Linked DNA regions of Schizosaccharomyces pombe. Changing the gene in region 3 together with the main gene of any one other region gives a genetic interaction. Each region holds a gene or a part of one and is shown on either strand. Other genes may lie near its edges.

Region 1 (5,088 bases), on a different chromosome or scaffold from region 3:
ATATCTTACCGGTTTTGGTGAAGCGACGGAAGGAACTAGCACCAAAAATCATAGGAAGCTTGTTAGAATTTCATCTTCCGAATCCAAAAGATGAAATTGAGCTGTCGAACGAAAGCAAGTTAGCTATACGGTGTATTGAAAAAAATCTAAAACTTATTTTACTTCATTTAGCTAAGAGTACAGGTGCATCTTCTTCTTCCGTCGAAAAAATTCACGCTTATCTTTCCGGACAAATTTATCATACCAAAGTCGATGAAAGTTTGAAGAAACGGCAATATGAGGGAAATATTAGTGCTGCCTCTAAGCGTGTTAAGTCTTCTGCTGTACAAAGTCTTGTAGAAAGAATGCAACCCCAACTTAGCTCTCACGATGGTTTGCAAAATAATCCCTTAATCAGCATATTTGCTTCACAAACTGCTATAAATCCTCTTGCAAATTTTGATGTAACTTCAATTCCGGTTGAAGTGGCTACTGAAATTGTACTTACTTCTCTTCTTAAGATAGACAAAAACTACTTTCATCAGCAAATTAATATGTTGAGAGAGAGAGTGCGCTCTCTCTCTGAGCCTGAATCCCTTGGTCTTGATCAACAAGTTGATGAAGACGAGGACGAGGATTATGAACCGCCTGAGGTAGATGTTCAGACTATCAATGCTAGTGTAGAACGTGAAGCAGCTCGACTAGAGGGAAGTGCTCCCTCCAATGTCGTTACTGATGCGTTTGAATTACCCACTCCAGATTCGCTGTCCCCGATGGCTATTCTAGAATACTTTCACGGTGCCTTATCCAGATTATTTGATTATGCTCCTCAATTTGAAAGAAGCATAGTTTCTTCTTCTAACCTTCAAAATTTAACGTTGGAAAATGTGGATAATACGGTATGGGATAAGCGTCACTGGGCAATTCTCTTACCACGACTTTGTACGCGAGGCTTATTGAATTATCAGCCTGTAACGTCTGGTGAGGAATCTGGAGATGCTTCTTTCACTTTGTCTTCATTTGTTCGAGGGCAGCTTTTTACTTACGTTGCATCTAACTGGCGTTCCAGTACAAATTTAATATTGAACTGGTTATCCGAGGAATGGTATAATGATCGACTAATGCTTGAAAATCCGGATTGTCATGAATATGAGGATGTTAAGTGGGAAGGTCCACAATATGAAAAATGGGCCCTTAAAGTAATAGACAGCATTTTACCATACTTAGAGGCAAAAGATAAAGTTTTTATGATATTTATGTCTGAATTGCCAGAACTCACCGATGCTATAGTTGACAAAATTAAATTTGTATGTCTTGATCCCGATAAGACGAAGCTCGGTTTCATGACTTTTCAGTATTTAATAATGTTTCGACTAACCTGTACGTGAAAAATGCCTTGATATTCTTGAGACGATGTGGAAAGAGAATGTAGATGTTAAAGCTTCCGCCGCAAAGCTTTTGAATCGTTGGCGACCGTCGTTTTTGGAGTCTGTGAAATCAGAGGAAACGAAAGAGCCTTCCGCTACAGATAACACTTCCTAGAAAGCTTGTTTTTCCTGGGTCGCAGTGGGATTTCATTGGAAAGCCAAGGAGAAATAAAAGCTAAATGTTTAATGCACCATCTTTTGATAAAATAAAGTTCTGTTCATACCTAGACAGAAAAAATGTATCTGTGGCTAATCACCACTCTGTTTATTGGAGTTTTTTGGTATATATGCAAAATCTGTTCATATACTTCATTTAATCCTGCATTGGAAATGAGAGTAATCTTTCAATATTTCTTAACATACTTTACATTCATATTTATCTAGCCAGCATTTAGCCCTCTGCTATTTATGTAATGCTGTTACTTATAGCAAACGTTTATAAAAACTAAGTCTGTATAAAGCATAAATGAGCCCTTAATTTTTGGCGCACTAAAATTTAACTATTTATTATACAAATCTCAATTTTCATCGATGATAGAATGGCATATTTTATTATTAAAATAAACCATGGTCTTCTAAGAGTGGGATGTAAACTAAAGAGAAAGACTTGTTAAAAGTAAATTTTTGTGTCTATACACATAATGTAGAATAATAATCATTTGTTCCATAATTCCATAATTATACTATTTTCTTCAAATCTTGGCATTCATCTAAATGATTGATACACCCTCTTAAACCGTTTATCGAGTCCAACTGAGACTTACCGTGCAATAAATGAATGCTTTAGGACAATGAATGAAAAATAAGGATGCAACTTATCCTTTGCAATGAAGCAAGTCTAATTCATATTTATTTCTCTTTCTTTTATTTAATGTAAAAAATGGGTTTAGAGGGATCCGAAAAATTAGAACATGAAATCGAGCAAGTTCATGATAATATTGGTAAGAGAAATAAGTAAATAATAGTTCAAGCAAACGCTAATATAGCGATCCCAGAAAATAGAAAGGAAGAAGTTTCGACGCTCCAAGATATGGCAAATGATTTAGAAAAATTGACAGATCATATTGAGGCAACGTATATTGGTAGAGGAGTACCTCATGACCATGCAAAAACAGGATCTAGAAAACCGTCTTCTGGTCAATTGATTGCTACTATGCAAAACGAAATCGACAGACTAAAGAAAGAAGGAGACAAGGTTTCTATTTTACTTATGCAAGAGCGAAAGAAAAGGAAGGAGCTGGAGTCAGCGAAGAATAACTTGCTAAATGTTTATGATTCTCTTAAAATGCAAAAGGCGTCTGTTTCCAGTATGGTAAATCGGAAACAGCGGGCAGCTAAAGAAGAACAAAAAATCCAAGAAGAATTCGAAAGACAAATAACCGACCTATTGGAAGAGCAGCAGCAATTAAAGCTAGAGATTGAAAGATTGGAAGCTGAAACGGAGCGGGCGAATTCTGAGACCGAACAGTACGAAAAGCAAAAAGAAGCTTTAGAAGAAGAGTATGAAGAGCTCAGGAATGAATGCTTGAAGCATGACCCTCAGTTGGATGCTGAAATAAGGACATTACAAGACACATTTGAAGAAGTGGAAAGGACTTTGACAAAACAGGTGTCTGATGCTAAGATTGCTGATAAACCACTAAAAGATTCAATGTTCAATAGCAATAGTGAAAAGGAGAAAATTATGCATGCACTCGAGAAGGCTGAAAAGGATGCTGATATCTATTCCGAGTTCATCCAACAGTACATGGAACAGCTGGAAAGCTCGTTAGAAAAAAGTAGCACAGCCATAGAGAACGCACAAAATCGTTTAGCCGAAATGACTGCCCACCTTGCTGAGAGCAGTGATTATGACAATGATGACGATACCGACGGTATTATTAATGAAACTGATTATGAATTGGATACCAGCCAGAGTGAGTTTGCTACTCTCACCACTAGCTCTAACAAATCTATCCTGAATGAGAGCTAAAAGCGTTATTATTTTTTTTGGTGAAGCTTCAGGTGCTGGTAATATTTATACTATCTTTTAAGCCATGAACAGATATTTGGTCACTTTTAATTGTAAATTAGTTTAGTTTAAAAGGTATATAGCAAGGAGAATCAATTATATCAAGATACAGCAGAAATAATATAGAACTTGAAAAACTAGTAAAAAGAAAGGGAGGGGGCAGAAATCATTATTTATTTTATTTTTTTGCTTAGACAATAAATACTCTTCAGTCATTGTTCGACATAAAAATAACTTGTGTTACTGTAATAGAAGGATCGCATTTTTCTTATAAAATAAGATTCATCTTTAGAAGCACAGCTTTATCATAATGAGCTCAATTCATGCATAGTGTCAATGATTAAATAAAGGTTCTCAAACAAGGAATTTACAGTTACTCTTGTCATCCTCGCTGAAGAGCAAGAATAGTTCACAACCAAATAGTTGTCGTCAACAAAAAGATTTCTTTGCACTAGTTCCTCTTTCAACTCACGATCTGGAGCTAACACTTGCAAACATCGTTCAGCGTCCACTCGACTGGCTAAAGGAACTTTCACAGTTCTACATATTACAGGTATTAGCAAATCATTTATAAATATAATTAAGGGAAGCTGAATGAACGACAAATAGCTACTTACACTTTATGAGGAAGCACGATCATTTCTGACATTTTAATAGGGAAATCGTATTCTAGGACTCCAAACTTTTTTAAAAAATCGAAAAATAGATTAACACTTCTTCGCAATCCCGATCAATTAAATATTCATTAAGCACAAAGTCAATAAAGCCACGTTTATGCAAGTAGTGGTAGAATGCTTTGTAAGACCAATGAATGTAATTTTGTCTACTGAGGTGGTACTAAGCCATATAGCTATTAAAGAACCTTACTTAGATTATATTTGCAATAACATATAATCTTTTAAATGAATACGAAATTCCCTTTTAAATATTAACATCATTATATTAAAACAAGGAAGTTTTATAGGTATATAGTACATATTGAACCGATATATCTTTTTATAGAATATAATTGAAGAGTTAAGGATTATACCGCTTATAGTAGAATAGAAATAGACCAGGAAAAAGCTTACAAATTAAACCTTTATTGGCTTATGCCATTTGTTCTAAATAAAAGGCTCTTTCTTAGCATGCACTTCATCAAAAGTATAAATTAGGTAAAGCATAAAAAAACTGATTGTTATCTTCAAGTTAGCTGTTGTGCTATGTCAATTTAGTTGCATAATACATAATTAAAAATACATATGCACGTTTTTGTGTTTTTAAATAAGTTTTATGCAAATTTACATCGACATTTAACATTTGGATAATTAATTCCAATTTTAGGCAAAGCGTAAATTAAAACCTATTCAGCTAATTCATTTATAGTATTTAATTTGCCAGTTAAATACCCCTTAACTTGCAATTTATACAAATAAATAAATAATAATATTATTATCTTTTAATATCGTAAAAGGTTGAAAAGTGCTGCTTTAATATTGTTTTAATAGACCAACGAATAGAAAAACACTCGATGATTGTAAGCAATCGAAATTATAGCCACAAAAATTTTAATGTAACAAATAATAATTTTCAAGTCTCTTGTTTTAACCCAATCCTTCTAAAGATTATTTTGTTCCTTAATACAATAGTGTGCATTTTTTATGTTTACAAAATAGCGCTTTGCAACGAGTA
Region 2 (5,732 bases), on a different chromosome or scaffold from region 3:
AATTCCTTGTCCGTATGCGTCTTACATTCACAAATATAATCAGCTTAAATGTTCCAGGTAAAAAAAAGGAAAATAAAACACCATTTGAATGTGTCGAAAGTTACTAAAAATCCAACTTCCATAGCTTCAGTATTTTTAAAGGTGGTATAAATAGTTAAGAAGAAAAAGTCATTATTTTTTTGTCACGAAAATCAAATTTTCCTCTTTTTTAAATTTTTATTTAGGTATCATGCTTTTTGGCAATAGTAAAGTACCGCCCACGAGCTTACCTGGCGCTGAGAAAGTAACAGGACGAAATCCCTTTTTGAACTGTTTTCTTTCTTTTCGTTTTTTTGCTAACACCGTACCACTCTCCCGGGCTTCGTTCTCAATTACTTTCTCTATATGTTTCTGTTTCTTCTTCATTCCTCTACGAGCAGCCATTGGCATTTTCTCGGTTTCCTTCTTACCGCCCAGTTGAGCAATGTGCTGCTGAACGACTTTGTGACGGATTTTTCCTTCAGCAACCAACTGAACTTGACCTGTCCTTGAGGTTGCCTCATGTAAAAGATGAGATTCTCGTAAAAGTTTTTGTAGTTCTAAATCGTTTTTTAGATTCTCGACTTCATCATCATCTGAACCATCATCATTTTGACGAGATCGTTTTCGCAATTTTTGTTCTTCTCTCTTCTTTGCTAGAATTTCTTCTTCATCTTCTAACTTGGGCATTTTTTTTAAAAAAGATACACGACCTACGGTCGCTGACAGAGTTGGCTTCTCAACTTCTTGATGGGAAACTCGTAGAATTTTGGACCCAAAAGACACATCTTCTTTATCCTCCATATCTGAAATAGCGTCTTCCTCCTCATTGCTGGTAGTTGGAGATTGTTCTTTTTCTGAAGCATCCGAATTGAAAGCAGTTTCAGAAGGCTTTGCTGAAACAGGTTGTAATCCTTCGATGTGTCCAAATTGATCTTCAAAATGCCTCTGTAAGGCTAATAAAGCATTCTCTGACATGTTTATTGTCAAAATTATAAAGAAGGTGATAGGAAGAATGAAATAAAAATTTATGGTGGAGTTTGTATTTGACAGCTTACTTCACTGGTGCTGTAACGTCTCAAAGTTGCTCACTTCAACTATTTTTTTATATAAGACATAGCAATTCTGTGATTGTTTCATTTCTTCTCTTTTTTGTTTTGCACGTTATTGGGAAATTTGAAGATATGGAAAAATCGCAGCACACTTTGTTTCGACCATGTATCGATATTCATCAAGGTCAAGTCAAACAAATTGTTGGAGGCACATTAGGAAATGACGCAGACGTGAAAACTAACTATGTATCATTAAAACCTAGCAGTTATTATGCTGAACTGTACAAATTGAATCACCTCGAAGGAGCACATGTTATTATGCTTGGGCCGAACTGCGAAGAAGCAGCTAAAACGGCTTTGCACACATGGCCTGGTATGTCGTGCATTTTTTTTTTGGATAAATAATTTTAATTATTTTACAACTTACAAATGAAGGTGCTCTTCAGATTGGTGGGGGGATTAATATTTCTAATGCACAAAACTGGCTACAAGAAGGTGCCTCAAAGGTAAATTTAAAATTAATTTACATGCTATGTTAAACGTTAATCTTCTTTTACATTAAGCAATCTCGGATGTGATTATTTGTATATTCATTTCTGAGTATGCAATATTGATTAAAAAATTGCAGCTAAAGCTGGTCATAAAAATACATGCTCATAAAAAGAGTTGTGTTCCAAAGGCATTAGTAAAGTTACAAAAAAAGAATGATGCGTAAAATGATTAACAATCAAATGAAAGTGTGAAGTTCCTAACTTTGTCTAGGTAATAGTAACTTCTTGGCTGTTCCCAGATGCCCAGTTTGATTTGGATAGACTGAAGGCTATATCTTCAAAAATTGGAAAAGACCGCTTGGTTGTGGATGTGAGGTAAGAAACCAATTCGCGAGCAAAGGAGGAAACTTCCAAGAGTATTATTAATAACAAAACTTACAGTTGTCGTCGAAAAGATAATAGGTGGTTCGCTGCCATCAATAAATGGCAAGTAATGACTGCTTTTGAACTAAATGAAGAAAACTTAGATTTACTGTCTCAGTATTGTTCGGAGTTTTTAATTCACGCTGCAGACGTTGAAGGTCTATGTAAGGGTATAGATGAGGACTTGGTAATTAAATTGGGAGAATGGGTCAAAATTCCTACCACTTACGCTGGAGGCGGTCGCAGTATAGAAGATTTGGATCTGGTAGATAAATTGAGTAAAGGAAAAGTTGATTTAACGATCGGAAGTGCTTTAGACATATTTGGCGGCGTCTTGGAGTTCACTCGAGTTGTCGCTTGGAATCGACGATTTACTCCATTGCCTCTCCAAGACTAAACATTTTTCCTTAAAATCAGTAGAATCCAAAGTCTTTCCTGCCATAGTTGATTCGATACTCTTACAGCAATCCAATTTGAATTGTGCATGACGACCCAACGCGGTATTTTTGGTAAAAGGAAGCCATACCAAAAGAGACCAAAGGATTAATGCAACCTTTTCTGTCCAACCACCACTTGTACTGAAAAACAAAGACATGAGGTAAAGAACGGTTGGAGGGACCCAGTCGTTTAGTCCAACCTTAGTTGTAGGATAATAGGTAATTGATTCCTGATGCCAGGCTTCTACTAGTTCATGGTTGAATGGTAAAAACTGCTGTAGTTTTCCATTAGCTACGACCATGAAAATGGTTAGTGGAAAATAACCGAGGAAAAATACAGCTGCCAAACATAGCAAGCGTAAGAATCGTTTTGAGGTTAGTTGAGAATCTCTCTGAAAAAATTGCTGCAGTTCTCTTTGTCGACGCCAGTAAAGCACGACGATTCGGGAAACGAAGAACAAGCCACCAAAAGACAACAGGCATGGAGGGATGTAAAAAAATAAAAGCGTGTACCACGTTTGGTAAAAAGAGCTGTAGCATCCATTCATGCATATTACCACATAACGGTTACTTTCCAAAGGAACCATCATTGCCATGATAATCAATGGCAGCAGGATGGATAAGCATACATGCCAAATCCAATTTTCATATCGTTTGAGAGGGTGGTCTCTGCGAATGACTGTATCAAGATACAGGACCAAAGTGAAGGCAGATGCAGGAATTCCAATACTTGAACATGTGACAATTCTAGATGTAATATCACACAATCCATAACCCATCCATCTAATTGTTTCTGCGTAGGGATTGCTCCAAATAGCAGACTCGACAACGTAGATGAGAGTTGTTAGGGTTAACCAAAATAAAAGCAAAAGGCAGGGAATGTTTCTCGCACGCAACTGCATGTATAAGATGGGGATAGACAAAACAAGGGCAAAGTAAGCATAAAATTGATAGAAAATCCCAATAGGCAACATGGTAAACTCAACGTATAAGTAACTAATAAATATGATATAAAAGAAAGTAAGATACAAAAATTAAATGGTACACAAAGACCTATATAGAATTTCAAAATATTAAAGAAGGTGAAAAAGAAAGCCGAAAGACGATGCGCAAACAAAAGAGTATAAATTCAGTGATGATGGTAGTCTTGATATTTGGATAGAGCAAAAATTGGAATTGTATATGCCAAGATTTTCCTAAGATTGCCAAAGTCGTGTACAATTTGAACTTCAATATTGTTCCAAAATAAAAGTAATAGACACGGAAAATGTATTATTTAAAAATACAGGACAGGAAACGAAAAGGTTAAAGCTATTGGAAACACCTTTGATCGCTCGCCAGATATCCCGCGCGAAGCTTGAAAACTTGAAAACAACTTGCGAAAACAGAGCACGGTTCGTAATTAAATGAGTAAGAAAAATTACTGTTGAGTATAGAACCTTGTTTGTATTTATTTGGCATATTGAAGAAGGGCAGTAGGCTCTTTATATACCTACCGTGAGAAGCCTCAGCATAGAGATCCATTTTCGGTCGGTCAAAGAGTTCAGCCCATTTGATTATCTAAAGCATAGTATTCCAATTTGAGGCATCAAAAGCGAATTCTTTATCTTTAATAAATCCATAGAATATCTTTTTGATGGGTAATCTGCGAAGTAAATACGTAAAGAAATTTTGGTGTTTAACGACTGTTTGACTTCATATATCGCGGTCGTTTATATTAATTGATGAGCGCATTGCAAAGAAAATTTCTTTTTAGATTTTGTACTCGTGAACAATTGTGCTGATGCGCTGAAGTTTTACTTTATAAATCGCAGCCTATATACGAGAGTTTGGTTTGAATTGCACTCGGTATATTATGGAATTGGTACACTAGCCGTTAGTCATATCTTCCTTTATATATAATTTATAAAAATACTCTTTCCTGTAATCTAATTCCATCCTTTACTTCTCTAAACCCGAAAACGAAATCAGTAAACATTAACGCGTACACATTTACGCGTAAGTCAATTCTTTCCAAATAGCTGGAGTATTGATCCAGATCAATTTTTTTTAACTGGTTTGTTTGTTAAAAATTTCAAGTAGAAAATAAAACAAGTTACTCACATTAACGAGCTTATATTTTGTTAACAATAGCACTAGGTAACTTCTTACACGTATTAGTACTGGTAATACTTATCCTATAAAGTTACGACTTAAATAGCGCTATTATTAAACAATATACTCAACCATGCTAACGAATAACTTGGGTATTTAATTAATTATAATTCTGCGAAGTAAAACATGTAAGCCATATTTGTATGTTTGTATTTCTTTTAGTACAAGAAAAGAAGAGAGCAATCAATGTTATATAAAATAAAAGCAATAAAATGTAAGAGCAATAAAAGTAAGCAATTCTCGTTGATCCGTGTGCAAGTTTTATATACCAATATGTTCATTATCTCAACCCAGAGAACCAACATGAGCAAGACAATAGCATCTGTTTTCCTCATCATTTATCAGAAAATGTTGCACGGCTATAACCTGATGCTGATGTTTCGTATATCACAATAGGCATATCAATCAAACGTCTGAAGCAAAGGTGTTATAAATCGTGTTTGTATCCTTTGAGAAAAGGACATCAAAAGGAATTCGCGATTTTCTCTTAAACTTTAATACAGTGCTTATCATTGATTTTAACTACATAATAATAGAGTTTCATTTCATTCTATAATGAGATAACTATAGTAGGTTACGAAAAAAAAAGTAGCCAAATTAAATCTGATGAAGTGAATATTGGCATAAAAAGAAGGAAAAAATCGGTAACAACTCTTCCTAACTTTTTTTTCTAAAATCAACGGATAAATGATATCAAAGCGGCAAAACGTTAGGCTCCAATATAAATGTCAAAAGGTGTAAGAAACAAAAAAGAAAGATTTTTTTAGGAAACTTTGCAGAACTTATATATCCTTTGAAAAGAAAAAATCTTCAATCATATATAGTTAATAAATCTTCCTTTTCAACAAAAGGTTATCTTGTAAGTGAGCAGCGTGCATGCTTTTTTCGAAACAGAGATATGCTGAATACAAGGGAAGAAAAAATATAACATGATTCGGATAAATTGTCTTTTAGCAAGTTGAGAAAAAATAGTATATAAATTACCAAGAAACCAGTAACTTGTAAATCTAACAAAATGAGAATTTGCTTAGGAATAACAGTTTCGGGATTTTCATAAAATTAATTAGAAGCATTTTAAATTAGCAAACGACCTGTGAACTCAAATAAGTCCACTCTCTTTTGCGAGGGAATAAAACAAAGATGCTTTATTTTCCAGC
Region 3 (8,698 bases):
TTTACTCACCTTCTTCTCGAATCGCTATTTCTTGCTCAAGTTCAAGAAAACTATCAGGCAAGTGTGCTCTTTGGTCTCCCAATGGCTAATAAGGTCAGTAATACAATTCCTTTCTTTTCGTTCGTTGTTTTGAGTATTTTGAACAAACACTACATCGGCTCAGTTTCACTCGCCATGGAAAGGTATACTCACTTTTTCGTTTCTAAAAAAAAGGGGTCAATAATCTTCATAATCTGCGTAACCTTTCTCCTTCTTAATATTTCCTTACGTCCAAGAAAAAAATCTAGACACCATTTTGATGGTTCATCGACCATACGCATGCGTTGTGCTCAAAAGTCTTTACAATTAAGCATAAACGATACTTATAGAAAAGATAATTTACTTCTTTGCTTACTAAATCACTTCAGCCGTGTGTGTTAAAGGATCAATATCTCTACCGAGAAGGTTCTTATATAAGCGATGTTTGTTTGTTTGTTTACCCAAAATTTTGGAAGCGGAGGGGATGCGTTTATTATGATGTTGAACGTAATGAAATACATATTTTTTTTTCTTAAGTGTGTTAAAAATAATTGATTTGAGGGAAGCTGTTGTTACGTCGAAGGTTTATCATTTTTTTGTTTGTAATTGAGACGTTCTAAAAGTATTGAGTAACTTGATTCCTTATAAATTTTATTAACTAAGTTACCTTATTTGGTTTTTCATAATTAGTTTGGCCTAAAAATATGTAAATGCATTTATAATTCTTCTTTTCTCTTTTGGGTTTATGCTGCAGACTATACATTTTCCAAAACATCTTCTCATCTCGAAGAAACATGTCTTTTATAGACTTTTTACTTTTGTAATTCTTTTTTAATCGAAATCATAGCCCAATTAATTAATATTTAGTATTGATGCTCCATTTTGAGAGTAATCATCTTCTGAGTTTCTTTGAAGAGAAAACAGAAACATATACTATCTAAATCGAATTTGTCTTTGAGTCAAAGCGTTAGATTATTAGTTGCTTTTTTTATGAAAATATCCCTGTTTCCAAACGGTTTTAGTAAATCATTCTCGTACAAGAATATATAACGAGAGCACGAAATTATCTATCAAAACGAAAGAATTATGATATATATAATATTCTGTTTTTTTTATCTGATGTTTTACTGTTAGAAATCCATTGTGTTGCTCAAACCGTTGATTTTGAATGGTATTATTTACATGTTTGTACCATCTTACCTCCTCTTTTACTAGTAATTCTAAGCCGCACTAGTTTGCCTTATTTAGCATACTGTTTTCTGATAAAAATCGTAGCTAGCTCGGTATTAGTTATTAATATCAGCAATGCAGTTCGATAATATGCCAGTAAAACTGCACTACGCTATCATACATTACGTCGAGTGTCACTATATGTCACATGTTCTACTTGTCATCGTACCATAGATGATACGATATTGAAATTGATCTTAATGATGTTCGATAAAGATTCTTGCTATTAGAATACTATAAAAGATAGCTACTACTGAACTGAGGAAAGAGGTTCAGCAATAAGCTACATTTGTGATAGATAACAATATACCCTTTATATTATAATACCTATACTTGATTGTTACTTTTATAACCTATGTATTACAATATTATAGGTCGCAAGGAAAGCTCACCGCATTACTACGTATCGTTAAAATAATTACAAAATTGCATAGTAAACAGACAACTGTTTTTAAATACGATGAAGTAGTTGAGTTTCTATTGCAATTTTTTATAATCTTATGTATGTTTACTACGATTGGTAATAAATATTCTTACGCTCAACTTAACATTATTTAATATTATAATAACTTATATACTTGATAATTGAAATAACAATTATAGTAATTCTGAAGCAAAAAACTAACTCACTAGCCGTATTGAAATGTGAAATGTTAATTGTACTTTTCAACAAAGCCAACCTTGAAAGTTAAAAACATAATAAATAGTGATAGTTAACATATCATAACATAGCGTGATTTCTTAATGGTAAAAGTTTGATTCTTATTTGAGGTTTTATGAACTTTAGTGAAACCACTATGCGCTTTTATCAAATTGCATAATTCGCTTTTCATATTACTTTGTCTCAGCGAAGTCATCTCCATATTAACATCAGCAGAGAACGAGTATTTTCCATAAGTAAAGAAGAAAGTTTTGAAATAACGTAAACGCGTTAGTAAACTTTTTTTCTATTAGTTTTAGCATTTGCATATTGTTTTGCGACATTTTTTGAGCAAACATCTATTTTTGTGTGTAAACAAAACGCTGTGTTTAGTTTAAATTAGGCGTTCGGGGAGTCTTGTAATTTCTACCGGTCATGACATCGGGGATTTATTACAAGGGACTGTAAGTTTATTAGAATCGTCTTTAAAGGATCCTGCTAATGTTGTTGTTGCGAAATGTAGTCAATGCTGGATTCCAGATGAGCAAAGCCAATGGATCCCTGGAAGCATAAAGGATTGTCGAGTTGAAGGTGAGAAAGCTTTCTTAACGGTACAAGATGAAAACGAAAACGTACGAAAATTATTATTTTCTTTGGTATCCCTTTTGGGTCAATTGAGATTAATTAGCTAATGTGATCTTGTTAGGAAACTGTTATTACAGTGAAGCCAGACGATTTAAATTATGAAGGAAGAAACGGCCTCCCGTTTCTTCGATCCATTAACTCGGATGCTGATGACCTTACTGATCTTTCATACCTAAATGAGCCGTCAGTGTTGGATGCTTTGTCAACAAGGTACAACCAACTTCAAATTTATACGTATTCTGGCATTGTCCTTATCGCAGTAAATCCTTTTCAGAGACTGCCAAATTTGTACACTCACGAAATAGTACGTGCTTATTCGGAGAAATCTCGGGATGAGCTAGATCCCCATCTCTATGCTATTGCTGAAGATAGCTACAAGTGCATGAATCAAGAGCATAAAAATCAAACTATTATTATATCTGGTGAGTCAGGAGCAGGAAAAACTGTTTCCGCAAGATACATAATGCGGTATTTTGCTTCTGTGCAAGCACTTATTCAATCCACCGATTCCAATTTTCATGAAGCTCCACAATTAACTGCTGTCGAGAATGAGATACTTGCTACAAATCCGATTATGGAGGCTTTTGGTAATTCTAAAACTTCTAGAAATGACAATTCTTCTCGCTTTGGTAAATATATTCAAATTTTGTTCGACGGAAATGCTACAATCATTGGTGCTAAAATTCAAACTTATCTTTTAGAAAGATCAAGATTAGTATTTCAGCCTAATCAAGAAAGAAATTATCATATTTTCTATCAGATTTTAGCTGGTTCATCCTCGGAACAACTTGAAAAGTGGAAACTTGTTGAGAATTCTCAAGAATTTAATTATTTAAAACAGGGAAATTGTTCTACAATTGAGGGCGTCAATGATAAAGAGGAATTTAAAGCTACAGTTGATGCATTAAAAACAGTTGGCATTGATAATGATACATGTGAATGCATATTTAGCTTATTAGCTGCATTGCTGCATATCGGTAACATAGAGGTTAAGCATTCAAGGAATGATGCATACATTGATTCAAAAAACGAAAATCTGATAAACGCTACTTCATTGTTGGGCGTGGATCCTTCTTCATTGGTGAAATGGTTAACGAAGCGTAAAATAAAGATGGCCTCTGAAGGTATTTTGAAACCATTGAACGAATTTCAAGCTGTAGTAGCTAGAGACTCAGTAGCGAAATTCCTTTACGCTTCACTCTTCGACTGGCTGGTAGCTACTATTAATAAAGCCTTGATGTACTCAGCTGATAAATCGAACCAGACGGCTAAAAGTTTTATTGGTGTTCTAGATATTTATGGGTTCGAGCACTTTAAAAAAAATTCATTTGAACAGTTTTGCATCAATTATGCGAACGAAAAACTTCAACAGGAATTTTATCGCCATGTTTTCAAACTGGAACAGGAGGAGTATGCTGCTGAGGGACTTAACTGGTCCTATATTGATTATCAAGACAATCAGCAATGTATTAGCATGATTGAGAGTCGTTTAGGGATTCTTTCCCTTTTAGACGAAGAATGCCGAATGCCCACGAACAGCGATGAAAATTGGGTTAGTAAGTTGAACGATGCATTCTCCAAGCCAGAATTCAAAAATAGTTATCAGAAATCAAGGTTTGGTAACAAGGAGTTTACAATTAAGCATTATGCTCTTGACGTTGTTTACTGTGCCGAAGGATTTATTGATAAAAACCGTGATACAATATCCGATGAGTTGTTGGAGCTTTTTACAAATTCAGACGTTCCCTTTGTCAAGGATCTGGTTTTATTCCGTCTTGAACAAACTGCACCCCCAGCCGATACCAAAAAAATAAAAACCAAGCCAAAAAGTAATACTCTTGGTTCAATGTTTAAAAGCTCTTTGGTTAGTCTAATGAGTACCATCAACGAAACTAATGCTCATTATATTCGTTGTATCAAGCCAAATGAAGAGAAAGAAGCCTGGAAATTTGATAACCAAATGGTGGTTTCTCAGTTACGAGCATGCGGTGTTTTAGAAACTATAAAAATATCTTGTGCTGGTTTTCCCTCCCGTTGGACTTTTGATGAGTTTGTTTCTCGTTATTACATGTTGGTTCCCTCTGCCGTAAGAACTACGGAGTCTTTGACCTTTAGCAAGGCAATTTTAGAGAAACATGCTGATCCGACTAAATATCAAATTGGCAAAACTAAAATATTTTTTCGTTCAGGTGTGACGCCCCTTTTAGAGAGTGCGAGAGACAAAGCTTTGAAACATGCAGCACATCTTTTGTATGAAGCGTTTGCTGTTAATTACTATAGGACTCGTTTTCTTCTGTCTCGGAAGAGAGTCAGGAGCTTTCAAGCCGTTGCTCATGGTTTCTTATCTCGTCGCCATACGGAGTACGAATTACTTTCTTCCAATATTATTAAACTTCAGTCACTTTGGAGAACTGCATTAAAGAGAAAAGAATTCATACAAACGAAAAATTCTATACTTAAAGTGCAAAGTATAATTAGAGGCTTTTTATTAAGACAGACTTTAGAGGAAAAGACAAAGCATGATGCAACATTAATTATTCAAAGTCTTTGGTTAACATTTAAAGCCCATAAGCACTACAAAGAACTACAATATTATGCAGTTCGTATCCAGTCTCTTTGGAGGATGAAACTTGCAAAGCGACAATTGACAGAATTAAAAATTGAATCCACTAAAGCGAGTCACCTTAAGCAAGTATCTTACAGGCTTGAAAGCAGATTGTTTGAGATTTCAAAACAGTTGGACAACTCGGAGCAGGAAAATAACAAGTTCAGGGAAAGAATCGCTGAATTGGAGTCTCATCTGTCCAACTATGCTGAAGCAAAGTTAGCACAAGAAAGAGAACTTGAGCAAACTAGGGTACTTATATCGGATCAATCTCAAGATGGGGAATTAAAGGAGTTACTTGAAGAGAAAGAAAACGCTTTGATTATGATGGAAGAGGAGATGAGGCAAGTCAACGATGCGAATACCGAACTTTTAAGAGTAAATGCAACTTTGAAGTCGCAGCTTAAAAATTACGATATGATTATTGTTGAGCAAACCTCTCAGTTGAAAGAGAAAAACAGGATAATTGCTAGTCTGACAAAAGCCACTAAAATACTGAATTCGGCCTCTAGTATCGAACAGTCGCGCAATTCGGAAGAGAAATCACGTCGTGATAGTTCATTGATGGAAATGCGTACTCAAAAAGAGATGCTTGTGCTATTAATGAACGATGGCTTGAAGCACGATCTTGACAAACTCACAGAATATGCAGGTAGAACATTTACAACTCTTAAAACTCTATTACTAAAGGACAACGATGTTGAGGCTCAGAAACTTGATCATTTGTTTTTAGCAAAACTACTTTTTATAATAATATCACAAATGTGGAAATCAAATCTGTGTCAGGAAAGTGTTGCCTTGGTTGAGCGTTACTGTGTCCACACTTTAGAATACGTATTTCAAAAGACATCATCTGCTAATGAGAGACCTGACATCGGATTTTGGGTTGCAAATACACATGCGCTCTTGGCTTTTGTTTATACTAAGCAGCAGGCGTTTAAACATTCCTCGGCTTTCACTCTTTTATCCACCGAATCTCATGAATCAGTGCAAACCATTTTTGAGATGATTGAATCACATCTGTCAAAAATCTTTTTCGAATGGGTTAGGCAAGTCAATAATTTTTTAAAGCCATTGATTGTTCAGGCAATGATTATTACTGGTACAAATACGGATGCTGGAGATGAGAATCGAAAACTACGGATTAAATTTTTTGAGAAACCAAAATACAAAATCACCGATGTAATACATGTACTAAATAAGGTGCATGATTCTTGTCAGGCCTATAAAGTTAATTATGAAATATATAATGCATTGATTAGAAGCATATATCGATTCATTAATGTGGAGGCATTCAATTCACTTTTTATTGATGAACGTGGATCTTGGAAACGTGGTACCAATATTTCATACAATTATCATGTTCTTAAGGATTGGTGTCTAGAAAGTGGTGTTCCGGAAGCTTATTTGCAGCTCGAAGAGCTTTTACAAACCTCCAAGATACTACAATTTGTGAAAGATGATCCAAATTATGTGGCCAGGGTCCGCGACTTTTATGCTCTTAATTTTCTGCAAATAAAAACACTCTTACATCGTTATGACTATGCTGACTACGAGGCTCATGTACCGAAAAAAACTATGTCTGAATTGTCCAAAAATATTGTTGCTGAAGGCATCAATCAAAGGGAACAACTTACTTACGAAGTGTTGGATTATAGACTACAAGATAGTTTTGAGGAATCTCCATCTCTTGAAAAAATAAAGATACCAGATGATTGTAATGTTACCTATTTGCGTCGTATCATCGACCTTGCTAGTGCAGAAGAAAGTGTTGAGCAAGCTTTGATCACTGTAGGCAACGTAGCCGACAATGATGTACAGAACTCGAGCGACGAAGAAAATCAAGTACCAAATGGTATTAAAGTTTAATATCTAGTTATTTTTCAAGGTGCTCTGCCTACTTATTTATTCCCTAATTAGGGGTTTTACTTTCAAAATTTGGAGCTGGGCCTTAGTTTCCGTGGAAGTTTTAATCAAAACATCCTGATAATGACAATCTTTTACGAGTTTTATTTACTGCTAAATATAAATATCTATGAGTATTGTAGTCTATTCTACTTCCCCACTTTGTATAGTTACTTGGTAACTTAATTTATTCTTAAATATTTATTTCGCTTGCGGAGTACGCATTGGTTTCAGTCAAAAAATACCTACATCGAAATACTTTCCATAACTAGTTTGTCACCAAAGACTGAAAAGAAAGTATATTTATTAGATCATTTTTAATATAAAGGCTGCAAACTACTTAATAAAACACGTAAATTGAAGTACGAAGTCTCATGCAGCGTTAGCAAGAAGCTCTACTCTATAAGCGAGAATAGCTTAACAAATCCGAATGTGTTAAGAACAGACAAAAAGCAAAGCAATAAAAGCATTTTCAAAATCTATTTGACATAATAAAAATAAACACGATTACGGAAGTCCCTTAAGTGTTATAATGGTCTATAAAAAACTTGTATTGTAAATTTCTACAATAGGAAGCTTGGGTACCACAATGGATAGGACTATTAAACCGAAAGGCATATCAAAAATTTTATAACCAGATACATACGTATAACGTATCAACATTAAAACTTTAATAGGAAAATATCACGTAGGATGAATTATCCAAACTCATAAATCCTGATCAATAATTTTTTAGTTAGCTCACACCGACTGCTTATGTATAAGACTCAACAAGAGTGTCTCTGTTGCTTATAATAGCAGAAGGTTGAGCATCTTGAAGTTTAAATATAGATTCACAGACAGCCAATTCAGTAGCCGTAGTATCAAGTCCAGCAAACGCACACCAGTCGTTCACAACTAGACCAGCACCGATAACATCGGAACCACGGTTGATGGTACCGGCAACAAGAGGAACTTGAAGAAGTGATGACAATTCATCCTGTTCCTGAATGCTAGTACGAGGGTGAACCAAAGCACCTTGATTGCTCAATGCACAATACGAACCGGTTAAAACATTGCCTGCAACGGTTTGACGGAAAACTTCAACATCTAAGACATCAGCAATAATTTCCTCGGTTTCACGCTCAATATCAGGATGAACAAGGGCCACATAGTCGTTGCAAGCCACAATGTTTCCTAGAGCTGAAAGTCGTTCATCAACACGTTGGATTTTGACAGGATCTGGAAGAGAATTGCGGAGGTGCTGTAGTTCATTATCGGTGGTAGAAGAGGGAACTAACAGACCTTTTCTATTACCACATGTCAAACGACCAATGATTCTGGTTCCTCCAATTGTGGTATGAACAACGGGTACAACATCACCTAACTCTGCCTCGAACACGCTGTTATAAAAGTTAGTGAAAAGTTGATAAATGTAAAAAATGCCAAAAAAAATAATTTGTCGAGCTGCATCGAGTCAAGGAATAATAAAGGTAATGAACAGCAAACCGCCAGAGTTTAAGTAGTGGTTTGCATTTATGTAGCAAAGTCTCTTTTACTCAATTAAAGAGTAGTTAGGCTACATCATTCACATATGTGCTATTTATTTTTCTCATAATACGTTCGACTGGTTAAGGATTTTAAGAACCTTTAAAAAAATTTTGAATCGTTTACAT

What was found.
Region 1: of myo52 (region 3) and rng8, changing one enhances a phenotype caused by changing the other (phenotypic enhancement), as found in Schizosaccharomyces pombe (one study listed by BioGRID).
Region 2: of myo52 (region 3) and map3, changing one enhances a phenotype caused by changing the other (phenotypic enhancement), as found in Schizosaccharomyces pombe (one study listed by BioGRID).

What each region holds. Positions count from the first base shown.
Region 1 is NC_003424.3:3,852,059-3,857,146, reverse strand, and holds rng8 (protein Rng8), read left to right. Parts: upstream 1-2,230; 5' UTR 2,231-2,286; coding exon 2,287-2,347; exon of another isoform or gene 2,348-2,401; coding exon 2,402-3,378; 3' UTR 3,379-3,576; downstream 3,577-5,088. Other genes in the region: transcriptional regulator Pcc1, read right to left, coding at 3,723-3,957, 4,035-4,066.
Region 2 is NC_003424.3:2,831,594-2,837,325, forward strand, and holds map3 (pheromone M-factor receptor Map3), read right to left. Parts: upstream 3,396-5,732; coding exon 2,298-3,395; coding exon of another isoform or gene 2,003-2,297; 3' UTR 1,937-2,002; coding exon of another isoform or gene 1,833-1,936; 3' UTR 1,638-1,832; downstream 1-1,637. Other genes in the region: rRNA processing protein Faf1, read right to left, coding at 217-996; his6 (1-(5-phosphoribosyl)-5-[(5-phosphoribosylamino)methylideneamino] imidazole-4-carboxamide isomerase), read left to right, coding at 1,203-1,443, 1,506-1,576, 1,833-1,936, 2,003-2,381; vacuolar phytochelatin and glutathione S-conjugate ABC family transmembrane transporter Abc2, read right to left, coding at 5,675-5,732.
Region 3 is NC_003421.2:2,223,357-2,232,054, reverse strand, and holds myo52 (myosin type V), read left to right. Parts: upstream 1-2,114; 5' UTR 2,115-2,323; coding exon 2,324-2,352; exon of another isoform or gene 2,353-2,411; coding exon 2,412-2,520; exon of another isoform or gene 2,521-2,529; intron 2,530-2,594; coding exon 2,595-7,007; 3' UTR 7,008-7,173; downstream 7,174-8,698. Other genes in the region: BAR adaptor protein Mug137, read right to left, coding at 10-85, 193-202, 269-294; tif6 (translation initiation factor-like ribosome biogenesis protein), read right to left, coding at 7,798-8,425. UniProt on the Schizosaccharomyces pombe protein: Involved in cell wall deposition where it has a role in the localization of mok1.